3 linked regions of the Macaca fascicularis genome follow. The main gene of each other region encodes a partner of the protein of the gene in region 3 in a complex. Links are inferred from orthologs where the notes say so. Each region holds a gene or a part of one and is shown on either strand. Other genes may lie near its edges.

What was found.
Region 1: the proteins of GNB1 (region 3) and CALCR are in contact, whole or in part, in a cryo-EM structure (PDB 8F0K), measured with the Homo sapiens proteins. The link is inferred for Macaca fascicularis from reciprocal best matches to the Homo sapiens genes GNB1 and CALCR. Residues at the interface, in NP_001269468.1 of Homo sapiens: Thr47, Arg52, Phe292, Ala309, Gly310, His311, Asp312, Trp339; in NP_001158210.1 of Homo sapiens: Arg174, Ser175, Arg404, Gln408.
Region 2: the proteins of GNB1 (region 3) and GPR21 are in contact, whole or in part, in a cryo-EM structure (PDB 8HJ1), measured with the Homo sapiens proteins. The link is inferred for Macaca fascicularis from reciprocal best matches to the Homo sapiens genes GNB1 and GPR21. Residues at the interface, in NP_001269468.1 of Homo sapiens: Gln44, Arg46, Thr50, Arg52, Ala309, Gly310, His311, Asp312, Asp333, Phe335, Lys337; in NP_005285.1 of Homo sapiens: Pro57, Leu58, His61, Arg313, Arg317, Thr324.

Annotation. Positions count from the first base shown.
Region 1 is NC_088377.1:127,740,859-127,744,607, forward strand, and holds the start of CALCR (calcitonin receptor), read left to right. Parts: upstream 1-1,031; 5' UTR 1,032-1,065; intron 1,066-1,250; 5' UTR 1,251-1,361; coding exon 1,362-1,467; intron 1,468-3,749. UniProt on the Homo sapiens protein: G protein-coupled receptor activated by ligand peptides amylin (IAPP), calcitonin (CT/CALCA) and calcitonin gene-related peptide type 1 (CGRP1/CALCA).
Region 2 is NC_088389.1:21,037,050-21,040,798, forward strand, and holds the start of GPR21 (probable G-protein coupled receptor 21), read right to left. Parts: upstream 2,416-3,749; 5' UTR 2,342-2,415; intron 1,912-2,341; 5' UTR 1,516-1,911; coding exon 466-1,515; 3' UTR 1-465. UniProt on the Homo sapiens protein: Orphan receptor.
Region 3 is NC_088375.1:232,963,528-232,967,276, reverse strand, and holds the start of GNB1 (guanine nucleotide-binding protein G(I)/G(S)/G(T) subunit beta-1), read right to left. Parts: upstream 2,214-3,749; 5' UTR 2,034-2,213; intron 1,238-2,033; exon of another isoform or gene 1,129-1,237; intron 1-1,128. UniProt on the Homo sapiens protein: Guanine nucleotide-binding proteins (G proteins) are involved as a modulator or transducer in various transmembrane signaling systems.

The sequences.
Region 1 (3,749 bases), on a different chromosome or scaffold from region 3:
GAAAAAAGTGTTGACTCCTGCCTTGCTCCACCCAGTTGTGGGCTAAAAGAGGTTGAGGGTGACTCGTCCTTGGAATCAACTTGCCTGCCTCCCAGAGCGCGCCTGCCAGCCTCCGCTGCGCCCCGCCTGGAATTGGATTGTCCCGGACTCCTGCTGACATCGAGGGTTTTAGGGGGAAAGAAGAGGAGTCGCAGTGTCCGACACCAAGTCAGGCACCCCATATCCCCGTCTTCCCTCGCCGTCCTCTCTGTTTTCATTCACCCTAAAACACTGTGCCCACCAGTAGTCCCCTGCACGGAGGGCACTCTTTCTCCAAATCCAAGTTGTGCCCCCAACCTACAGTCGCCCAACTCCGGACGCTCTCCCAGGGTTTGCGTGATCCCCAAGGTGTCTCTTCTCATCTCCTTCCTCTCAGCTCTTTTTTCCTTTTAGCACCCCGGCTCTTAGCCAGCCGTCTTCCCACGCCCTCACCCCACTTTCACTACCTAGCCCACTACCGACCCTTCCTCCACAGGCTCCCCAGTGCTATCCCCGGAGTGGCGGCTGAAGAAGCCAGGGTCACACTGTCTCTGGGGTAAGGTTTTTGTGGAAACTCACATCCTCCGGGGAGGGGACAGGGCTCCCAGAAAGCTGTCTCCCAGCCCAGGCTGTCGCCCCCCTCTCCCTCCCTACTCAAGGTCTAACTCGGGTCCCTCGCCTGCTTCCTGTGTTTACGCGGCGCTTTAGTCTCCCGGACTCGCAGAGTGAGCTCCAGCCCCGACTGGAGCGAGGCAGCAGCCGCGAGCGCAACCCCACTCGCGGGCTGGGGCGACGGGGGCTGGCGCGAGGCGCACGGAGCTCACCAGCTCTCCCCTCCCTCTCCTGGGACAGGAGGGGGCTGACTGGGGCGGCGGGGTCCGGGAGTGGCGGGGCTGGCTCTCGTCAATTCTGCTGCCACCTAGTCTGCCGCCTGTCGGGAGGCGGGCGGGGGTGGGGCGGGAGCGCAGGCGAGGATTGAGACTCTTAAGTCAGGAGAAGTTTGCGCACAGCTTCACAGCTGGGCGAGCGCAGGAAGGCGCCGGGAAGGTGAGCCTCCCGGACTTTGGGAAGGGAGAAAGCAAGCCTGGGGAAGGAACAGTTGTCTTTTAGCTGATAATACAACCTAGACTTGGGTCTGAACCATCTAAGACAGATTTAAAGTGTCAAAAAACCAGGAGAGGGGCGGAGAGGGAGGACAGAGACTAACGCAGTTTACTCTCACGTCAAACTAGGAAAGCCAGCCCCCCAGTCTCTGGGTGGGCTGCGCCGCGCGACTGGCAGCCTTCCCGGGTTGGAGAGGTGGGCACGTCCGCACCTCACCCTGCGGCTGACATCTTCTGCCCATGAGACGGACGCTGAAGCTTGGACTCCTGAATCCCTGGAGCCACACCTGCGAACGCCCTTCGCTTCTATTGAGCTGCGCCCGGCCGCCCAGTGACAGAATTCCAGGTAAGGAGGGTCTGGAAATGAGCGGGACTTAAGGATTTGGGGTGTCCAAGGGATGTTTAACAATGCAGGGGCGATAGGCACCTTGCTTTTTAATTATAGAACTGCGGTTTGATTGTGGTGCTTGAGGTTCTCATGTAGGGTCAGCTAGGACTCAGACGCTTTACTTTACCCTTAATAAAGAAAAAAGAACAATAGGTGTCCTGGGAAGAGCCAACAACTTATGGTTTCGTATTGAAGAATCTTTTGATTTCTTGTGACTTTTACTATGTTGTTAATATCAATTTTCCCTCAAAAGTTTTATTCTCCAACTTACTGGGTAGGAAAACTACGGGGGATAAAGGTGTGAATTTTCCCAAAGGGTGTTTATTAACTGACAAACAGATAATACCGGCATCTATAAGATGTGTCGTGGTTGTTCTGGATACTGGAAATGAGCACAGTAGTGAATGGAGTTGCTTGTTAGGTCATGTTTTACAGAGAATTATTTTCCAACAATCATTTATGCATAGCAGCCATTCTTCACACCTATTAGGAAAAATATGTTGTGTGCATAGTTTCCAAAAGAGTACTATTTTTCATGATGCTCTTCCCGAAGTCTGGGTGAAAGACATCAAGAAAAGCTGTGACAAATTAATTCCTTTTCTCAAAACATTCATTGTCCTTGAGGTCCAAGCCAAAAATCAACAATACAATTGAGATTAGTAAACTACCATAACGACTTTATTTAGCAAATCTACCTAAGCAAAGTTTTATATGAAAGCTTTAACCTAATATTATGTGATATTTGCAAGAAGAGAAGGCAGTGTTCCACTTGCTGATCTTCAGGAGACCCTATTTCCTGGCTGTGGTTAACCAGAATCAAGTTATCTGTGTAAGGCTATTTGTTTAAATTATTTGGTGATTGAAAGTGAAATGTTCAAAATAAGTCAAAGTTTTACAAAGTAGTTCTTAAAGCTAATCTTTAAATTATAGAGTGTCCGAGTTTAAGTCTGTATTAAAGATCATAGAAAGCAAATATTTTGTGTATTTTGACCAGTTGGCTTACCATTAAGGACGAAGTAGGAATGCTTTTAGTGTTATGGAATTTATAAAGTGTAATTTCTAATAGCATATTGCTAGCCTATGAGTTCAGTAGTAAAAGAACTCAGCTTTAAAAGGTTGAGATTGCTGGTTATACACTAGTATTATAAGAGAAACTAAGGTGATTAGATTTGTAAAACTTTTACAGTTTAAGTTGATATTCTCAGTGGGAACTCATTTCTACTCAATATTTCAACATAGCTCAAAACATCCATTAGCCGGGATTTGTTCTGGTTGAATGCCTCTAACCTGTAGCTTATTTTATGAACTATAGCCCAAGACTAATATCTGGTCATATTATAAAATGTTCTAAGTTTATTCACTGACTACATCAACACAATAAGTAAACAAGTAATCTTCATTATAACTAGTTTATAAGAACATATAAATAATCTTGGAGTTGTTTTGTTTCATGATTCTCAAAGTTAAAAAGAAATAGCTGATATAAATACAGCTTCTGTTTCTCATTTTGAAACCGGAGGTTATGATCGATGGTGGATGGAGAGCATTTGCTCTAATCAGTTAAAGAAAGGGAGCTAACTATTAGTTTAGTTGTGCCATGGCAATTCTGTTCTTGATGAACCTCTCAGACTCTGTCAATGTTAACATGAATGAAAATAATATCTATTGTTGGTTTTTATTAGAGTCCAAGTGAGATGGAAATAGGAGACGGGTAATGTTTTCAATGATAATCTAAACCAGTATTCTCAACTCGGGCAGCAAATTAGGGTTAATAGGAGAACTTTCAAAAAATACGGATGCCTAACCTTATCCCAATTCAATTAAATCAGAGTATCTGTGGAAAGGGTCTGCAATTTGATGTATTTCTTTAGGTGATTGTAGTACGCAACCAGGACTGAGAGCCTCTGACCAAGAGGGTTTCCACCAGACTTGGTAGAACTCACTGATGTTTGAGGCTCTTGATAAAAATAAATGCTGTTTGTTATATTGCTGGTCAAATAGTTTTTTCTTTTTAAAAAAGAAACATGTATGTATAAACATATATATATATATATGTATAACTTGATCTTACAATTAGAAGAAAAATATTTTAATATTTGATGTTAGATATTTAGACCATAACAGCTTCTTGGAAAAACATTTTTTATCCAGAAAACAAGCTATTGAGTTTGAAGTTGATCTGCCCAACCAGAAAATGCTTTAGTAAATGAACTCTAGCTTTGAGAGATGTTGAAAATAAT
Region 2 (3,749 bases), on a different chromosome or scaffold from region 3:
TTAATTTATATTTTACTATTCCCTGTTAGAAGAAATCAATTGCACATGAAGCCTAAATAGCTGGAAATAACCCACAAAGTGACAACAAAATGATGACTTTTTAAAATGCTGACGCTTTTCACACTCAGGTTCAGTCATGCCAGCTGGAAAGAGGTGTTAGATATGGCTTTATTCATTCTAAATCTGAGAACTGTAGTCATTTCCAAGACATTTCAAAAATTGAAAGCAACAGCAATTTGTCTTCATGATCTTAAGTCTTCTAATTCAAAAGCACTTTTGAAAACCATTTCTACAAACTTAGAAGGTATCTGTACGAATAATTTGCATGCTATTGCTTAGAGTCAAAGTATTCTGTCTCAGATTTCCTAGTGAATGAGGAATACTTAGAGATAAAACACACACACACACACACACACACACACACACACACACACACACACAGGGGAACCCCGTAACTGAGCCACTTCAGATACGACATCCATTAAGAGGGCCTTTGCTTCTAACTGTGTAAGGGTCGTTGGCTGTAGTCTGACTTGCACAAGAAGTACACATAGCCCCTGAGAGGCGCTTTAGTCCTCTTTGGAATACACTGTTGGAGAGACTATAAATGACACAGTTGCAGAAACTGTTACTAATAGCAAGCCAGGTGGTCAAGAAGGATGCGAAGCGGTTGCTGTGGCCAGTGGAGCTTTCCAACAAGAAGTAGATGATATATGGCAACCAGAGGATGTAAAATACACTAGTGATTCGAAACAGGACCATGGCATAGCGCTTATCAGGACAGGCCTGCACTTCCCCAGTCTCCCCACTCTGGCTGCTGAAGCGGGCTTGCCTTTCGCTGATTTCTTTTGTGTGCTGTTGACAGATGCGGAAGATGTTGAAATAGGTGAAGCAGACAATAAGGGCTGCTGGGGCATATAACATCATCACGATGAACAGGGTGAAGTAGGAGTCAGTGTGCCAGGATTCCGCACACCACTGAAACACATCTCCATGATATCCAGGTTTGCCCCAGTGGAAAAAGGAAGGCAGGAAGACCAGGGTCGAGTATAGCCAAATCAGGAAAATACACAGGCGTAGTCTCCAGGGTGTAACCAGAGTATTATAGGTTAAAGGTTTAGTAATGGCAATGTATCTATCAATGCTGATACAAGCCAGAGAAGCCATGGAGACGCTCTTCAGAACTGATACTACGAAACCAAATATCTGGCAAGTCAAGGACTCCTCTACTGGAAGGGGGTGATGGAGGAGTGATAAAGAAGGGACCAGGCAGCTCACCCCAACAAAAAGGTCAGCATATGCCATAGTCTGGATAAAATAACTTGTAGTGTGATGGTTCAACAAAGGTGCACAGTGAAATACAAAAATCACAATGATGTTGCCAGAAATAATCAATACAGTTAGAAAGACAATAATCAATACTTCCAAAAGGCAAAAATTGACAGTTTCCAAATAGCCAAATGCCAAGAGGCAAAAAGGGTGGCTGCTCTGATTACCATCCAAGGTGGAGTTCATCTTGAGCTCAGGAGTGATCTGTCACTTCATGCTGCCGCTTGGCTGCTGCCAACAGTTCAAAGAAGCAGCTGCTGTCATTGCGGTCAGCTTTGCATGTGTGTAATAATGCCAGAGGAGCCTTAGTCCCCAAGCTCCTGATGCTGCTGCTCTGGTGCATTGCCTGCAGTGCAATTCCCCTTTAAATCCTTCCTGGAATAAGGAGAGCCAGCAGTAGTTGTCTGGCCAGTCCCAGACGTGGCCATAGCGCCAGGTTCACCATACACATAGCACCAGGGGAGCAACGTAAACTCTGGGGACAACGTCTTCAGGCCAAGTGAGGGTAGGGGGAAAGGGTAGAAGAGAAGGGAAGAAGATTAGGAGCTTCAGCAGGAGTTGTAATGAGTCTCCTCTGAACAGCTGATAGAAGAAAAGGAGAGAGCATTTTACATTTCACATCCAATGCCCTAATCAAAGAACCTGGCTAGCTCAGGCTGGCATCATCCCTCCCACTCCACCCCTACTAGCACCACTATTCATGGCTACCCTCAATAGCACCCCACATAACTGATCTGTACTGTATAGAGGAGCAGCAGCAACATCAAGCTTTCAAGATCAGCATAAAACAAAACCAATCACAGTCAGATTAATTTACCCCCATTTCCTTTCATTTGAGACTTGGGGGAAAAAGGGAATTTGCTTATAATATTTATGAAAACCTTTCACTACAATTACCACTAATAAAAATAGCCAAAATAATTTACTTTCTTCATTGATTCCAATATAATATTTTGCCTCTTTGAAAACATTTCAACAGAATTTGCTGTTTAGTTCAATTTCAGAATGTTACCTGTAATTCTGCATGCTGCAATCCAAACAAAAGCCACAATACATCCTTAACAGAAAGCCTTGCAAAGCAGGAATGTGCTTCAACTCGCGTACTGCAGAACTGAGACACGAAGGGAGGGGATAAAGGAGTAGGAGGGGAAACAGGGAGAAGAGGGGGCTTGGGAAAAAGAAGAAAGGGGGAGGGGAAAGAAAACGCCTGTATGTGCACACACTCCGGAATCTTTAGCAACTAATTGGAATTCATCGTCAGAGAGGTGCCCCCTGATTTCCAGATTGCACAGTGTGGGAATGGCTTGCTATGCCTGCAGTGCCTCATTTGAAAGCTGTTTCCTCGTCTGTCTGGAATCCCCCTTTTAGTAGATAAGCAGAATTCAGGCTGCTAGCAAGGAGAAGGGGCAGGAGCAGAACAGGGTGTCAGGAGTTAGACTGAAACACACTGCCAGAGTGGTAATTCCTATTTTCTCATGGCATTTTCCCAAAGAACAAAGAGCAATATTAAAGAAAGGAAGTATATTAACCTCCTTTAAGTGTATGGCATATGGCAACTGACAATCATAATTCAGCTGCACAAGAAGTTCTAGCTAGAAGGCTATTCACCATTAATTTTGTCTCTCATGATTCACTGAATATTGGCCAAGAAACTTTAAAATCACTTTTTCAAGAGAAAAGTAAAGTATTTCCCATTCTGAATACTACAGAAATAGCACAGAGAAATTACATTGTTCCCATATTTGACACTACCCTATAGTTTTGAGATACATTTCTTGCTTCTAATTTGCTGAGCAGTATACAAGAATACAAACAAAAGATAGAAAAGTAAATGTACCTTCTTCTACTCAGGCATGGATATTACAGGAGGTTTCATGGTACAAATAAGCCTTTGTATCTTAGAATATACAATCTTGTTTCTGCCTATTTAAAACAATGCAAACTGGGATTATATTGTGGTTTTCCTAGTAATGTCATAAATGATGACAATTTTCAGGTAACAGAGTTGGGTGCTATGAAAATGTGTAATTTTAGTATTTAGAAGGATTAATTGAAAGTATCCAGCAGAGTAAAAGACAATAAACAAATGCTATCATTTGAAAGCTTTCCAAGAGGTAGGCAACTGAGTAAAATGTGTGATCCAACTTTCATTTTTAATTCATTTTATACACATGCTTTCTTATTACAGACAAATGGCCACCCATAATCAGAATGCAATGAATTATATTTTAAATCTGAAGCAGCAGCAGTTGTCTGGCCAGTCCCAGACGCGGCCATAGCCCCAAAATAAAAAACCTATTTAACCATAATCCTGACATAATATCTGACAGGTCTTACTGTAATATCTGACAGGTCTTACTGGGAAACAGAGCAAAGTGTGTGGCACAGTAAAAAGACCAATAACATCGAAGGAACAATAA
Region 3 (3,749 bases):
TGCTACTGCACTCCAGCCTGGGTGACAGAGCGAGACTTCATCTCAAACAAAAAGTTACTTGATGCAATTAGCTGGGTATGGTGGAACGTGCCTGTAGTCCTACCTAGTTGGGAGGCTGAGGTGGGAAGATCGCTTGAGCCCAGGAGTTCAAGGCTGCAGTGAGCTATGATAGCACCACTGCACTCCAATCTGGGCAACACAGCAAGATCTTGTCTCTAAATAGTTACTGGAAGAACTGTAACATATCGCTAAGAACAATAATGGAGAGAGTAATAATTTGGGAAAACGCTTACTATATACTAAGTGAAAAACAATATAAATTTGCATATAGTTATTTTATTTGAGACTGAGTCTAGCTCTGTGGCCCAGGCTGGAGTGAAATGGCGCGATCTCAGCTCACTGCAACCTCCGCCTCCTGGGTTCAAGCGATTCTCCTACCTCAGCTTCCCAAGTAGCTGGGATTACAGGCATGCACCACCACACCTGCCTAATTTTTGTATTTTTAGTAGAGACAGGTTTTCGCCATGTTGGCCAGGCTGGTCTTGAACTCCTGACCTCAAGTGATCTGCCTGCCTCGGCCTCCCAAAGTGCTGGGATTACAGGCATGAGCCACCGCACCCAGTCGCAGGTAGTAATTTTAGCTGCTTTATTAGAATTAAAATAGGTCTGGGCGCGGTGGCTCATGCCTATAGTCCCAGCACTTTGGGAGGCTGAGGCTGGCAGATAGCTTGAGCCCAGGAGTTCAAGACCAGGGTAGGCAACAACATGGCGAAAACCTGGCCTCTACTAAAAATGCAAAAAATTAGCTGGCGTAGTGGCACACGCCTATAGTCCCAGCTACTTGGGAGGCTAAAGTGGGAGAACCCACTCGAGTCCGGGAAACTGAGGCTACAAGCGAGCCGTGACTGCGCCACTATGCTCCAGTCTGGGCAAATGGAGTGAGACCTTGCCTAAAAAAAAAAAAAACAAGAAAAGAAAAATATACTTATTTTAAAGAAAGACAGTTAAAAAGACTAACAGCATTTTTATTATAATTATTAGTCACGTTTTTCTACTAAACTTCCTAATGTTGACGCAGCTTCCTTTGAAAATTAAAAAATAAATGTAAATTTTAAAAGTCGTACTTACATTTTATTGCTTTTGCTTTTCTCTTCACTATCCTTAGTCCCCCAAACCTTCTAGAACACCCACCATCAGGTTTACCTGGCTTGGGCTCCTCTCCTCCAGTGCCAATGTCACGGCTAAGCTCTGGCTGTGCTGACTCCAAGAACTTGCCCGTCTAATCCACTAAGACAGGGTCTGCTGAGGTCTCATGTCTATCCTTCCCGATGACCCATATCTGCCATTGGCTTTTATTTAGAATTTCAGTTTTGGAAATCCTTTTCAGAGAGATTTAAATAACTTAAAAGCAAGTAGGTGAAGGAATCTGCCCCTACTTTAGAACAACATCTTTGTGAGTCAAGTGTTAGTTAGCATGATTTTTAAAGTCAGAATATTTCACATTTGCATTGCAATGTGCTCCGTGTAATGCCTCTACTTTCATGGCAATGCAGCAGCCCAGGCCTCTCATCCAGGCCCCTGAGAGTCTAGGAGCGGCACTTCAGCGGTGCCCGCAGGACCCCAAATTACACAGTCAGCAATAACGACATTCAGGCTGCAAGTATGCCAATGACAAAATAGGGTACAGATATTGAAAAATAATTTCAATTTCTGGTTCTGCGACATACAAAGAATAATGCTTTAAATTGTTTTTTACTCTGATCTGCTTAATTCAAAATAGGAATGGTGTTACCTACATGACAGGGCTAAAATGAAGATTAAATCAGACAACCAATCTGAAAGTGCTCTGTCAGCCTTACAGTGATTAAACTTCCGAAGTCCAAACTGGCCCCAGTGAGGCCCCAGTGTCTTACACAGGGGCAGGAAATTTGCTAATTTGACCAGCCACACAAGGATCACAGCTCACCTCCAAGATGAAGCAGTATTTTGAGAGAGAGGAGTCTGCATGAGGAATTTAAACCAATTTCACTCACTTTTCCATTTTTCTTTCATTCCCAAGTCCAGGTCAATCTCCAAAATTAAGACTGTGGCAATTCAAAGGGCAACGGAAAGTCCTCAGGCCCTGCTCCCTTTATGCACCGCTCCGAACAATACTGTGAAGAATAAGGGGAGCAGGGCACCACCACAACTGATAAAAGGACACGACCACTAACACAGCTGCAGAGCAGCGCATGTGCAGACCCTCCCTTCAACACGACAGGCACCATGGCGCCTCGGCACAGTGCTGAGCAGCATGAACCAGGCTGGCTGCTAGTCTGAGGGAGACAGATGACTAACAGGTAACCACGTGGAGCATACACAGGCACCAAACGGGTGAAGTGTGCCAGGGAGGGCAGGGAGGATGCTGCTTTGCATGGTTGTTAGACATGACCTTGCTAATAAGGGCCAAGAATTGAGCGGAAGGCAGATGGGTAAAAATAACACAACTGTTCTTGTTTGAGGTGCTATTTTTTGCAATGGTAACAATTTTTAAAATCATACCTTCAGGATTTTGCCTGTGCCTATAAAGTAATCTTACCAAAAAAGTGAATGTGACCAAAGCTCCAGAACCTGCAGATGGGAGCGTGTTCAATGACCCCACACGGAGGCAACAGAACCTGAAGACAGGGGAGCGTGTTCAATGACCCCACACGGAGGCAACGGAACCTGAAGACAGGGGAGCGTGTTCAATGACCCCACACGGAGGCAACGGTGCTACACAACGGCCTGGGAAACACTCCAGCACAGACAACCAGGCAGGTTGGTTAGTCTGTCTTTAACAAATAAACTTCAAGGGAAAAAGGAGACAAAGCAAGCAATGGAAGGAGGATTTCTGGACTAAGTTAAGAGACTCCCTAGGATCATCTCCTTCATGCCCCAGTCACAAGTGAGCTCACTCACCCACCAGACACTGGCAACCGGGGGAAGAGCAGGAACTACGGTGTGCGGTCACAAAGTCCTCAGAAGGCGATTCTCTGGGGAGGGGATCTAATAGCCAGGGGTGAGCCAGTGAGGCACAGCTATTAAGAGCTTACCTCCGACCCCTGGAACTCTGAAATCCCAGGAGGTGGTTACTGACACTCCCGAAGACTTATTATTATTATTATTATTATTTTTTTTTTTTTAGACGGAGTCTCGCTCTGTCGCCCAGGCTGGAGTGCAGTGGCGCGATCTCGGCTCACTGCAAGCTCCGCCTCCCGGGTTCACGCCATTCTCCTGCCTCAGCCTCCCGAGTAGCTGGGACTACAGGCGCCCACAACCGCGCCCGGCTAATTTTTTGTATTTTTAGTAGAGACGGGGTTTCACCGTGGTCTCGATCTCCTGACCTTGTGATCCGCCCGCCTCGGCCTCCCAAAGTGCTGGGATTACAGGCGTGAGCCACCGCGCCCGGCCGACTTATTATTTCTCATGCATCACAAAAAACATTTGGTCTCCCAATTTTGCTCTCCCTTTTCTTTTTTTTTTTTTTTTTTTTTTGAGATGGAGTCTGGCTCTGTCGCCCAGGCTGGAGTGCAGTGGCCGGATCTCGGCTCACTGCAAGCTCCGCCTCCCGGGTTTACGCCATTCTCCTGCCTCAGCCTCCCGAGTAGCTGGGACTACAGGCGCCCACCACCTCGCCCGACTAGTTTTTTTGTATTTTTTAGTAGAGACGGGGTTTCACCGTGTTCACCAGGATGGTCTCGATCTCCTGACCTCGTGATCCGCCTGTC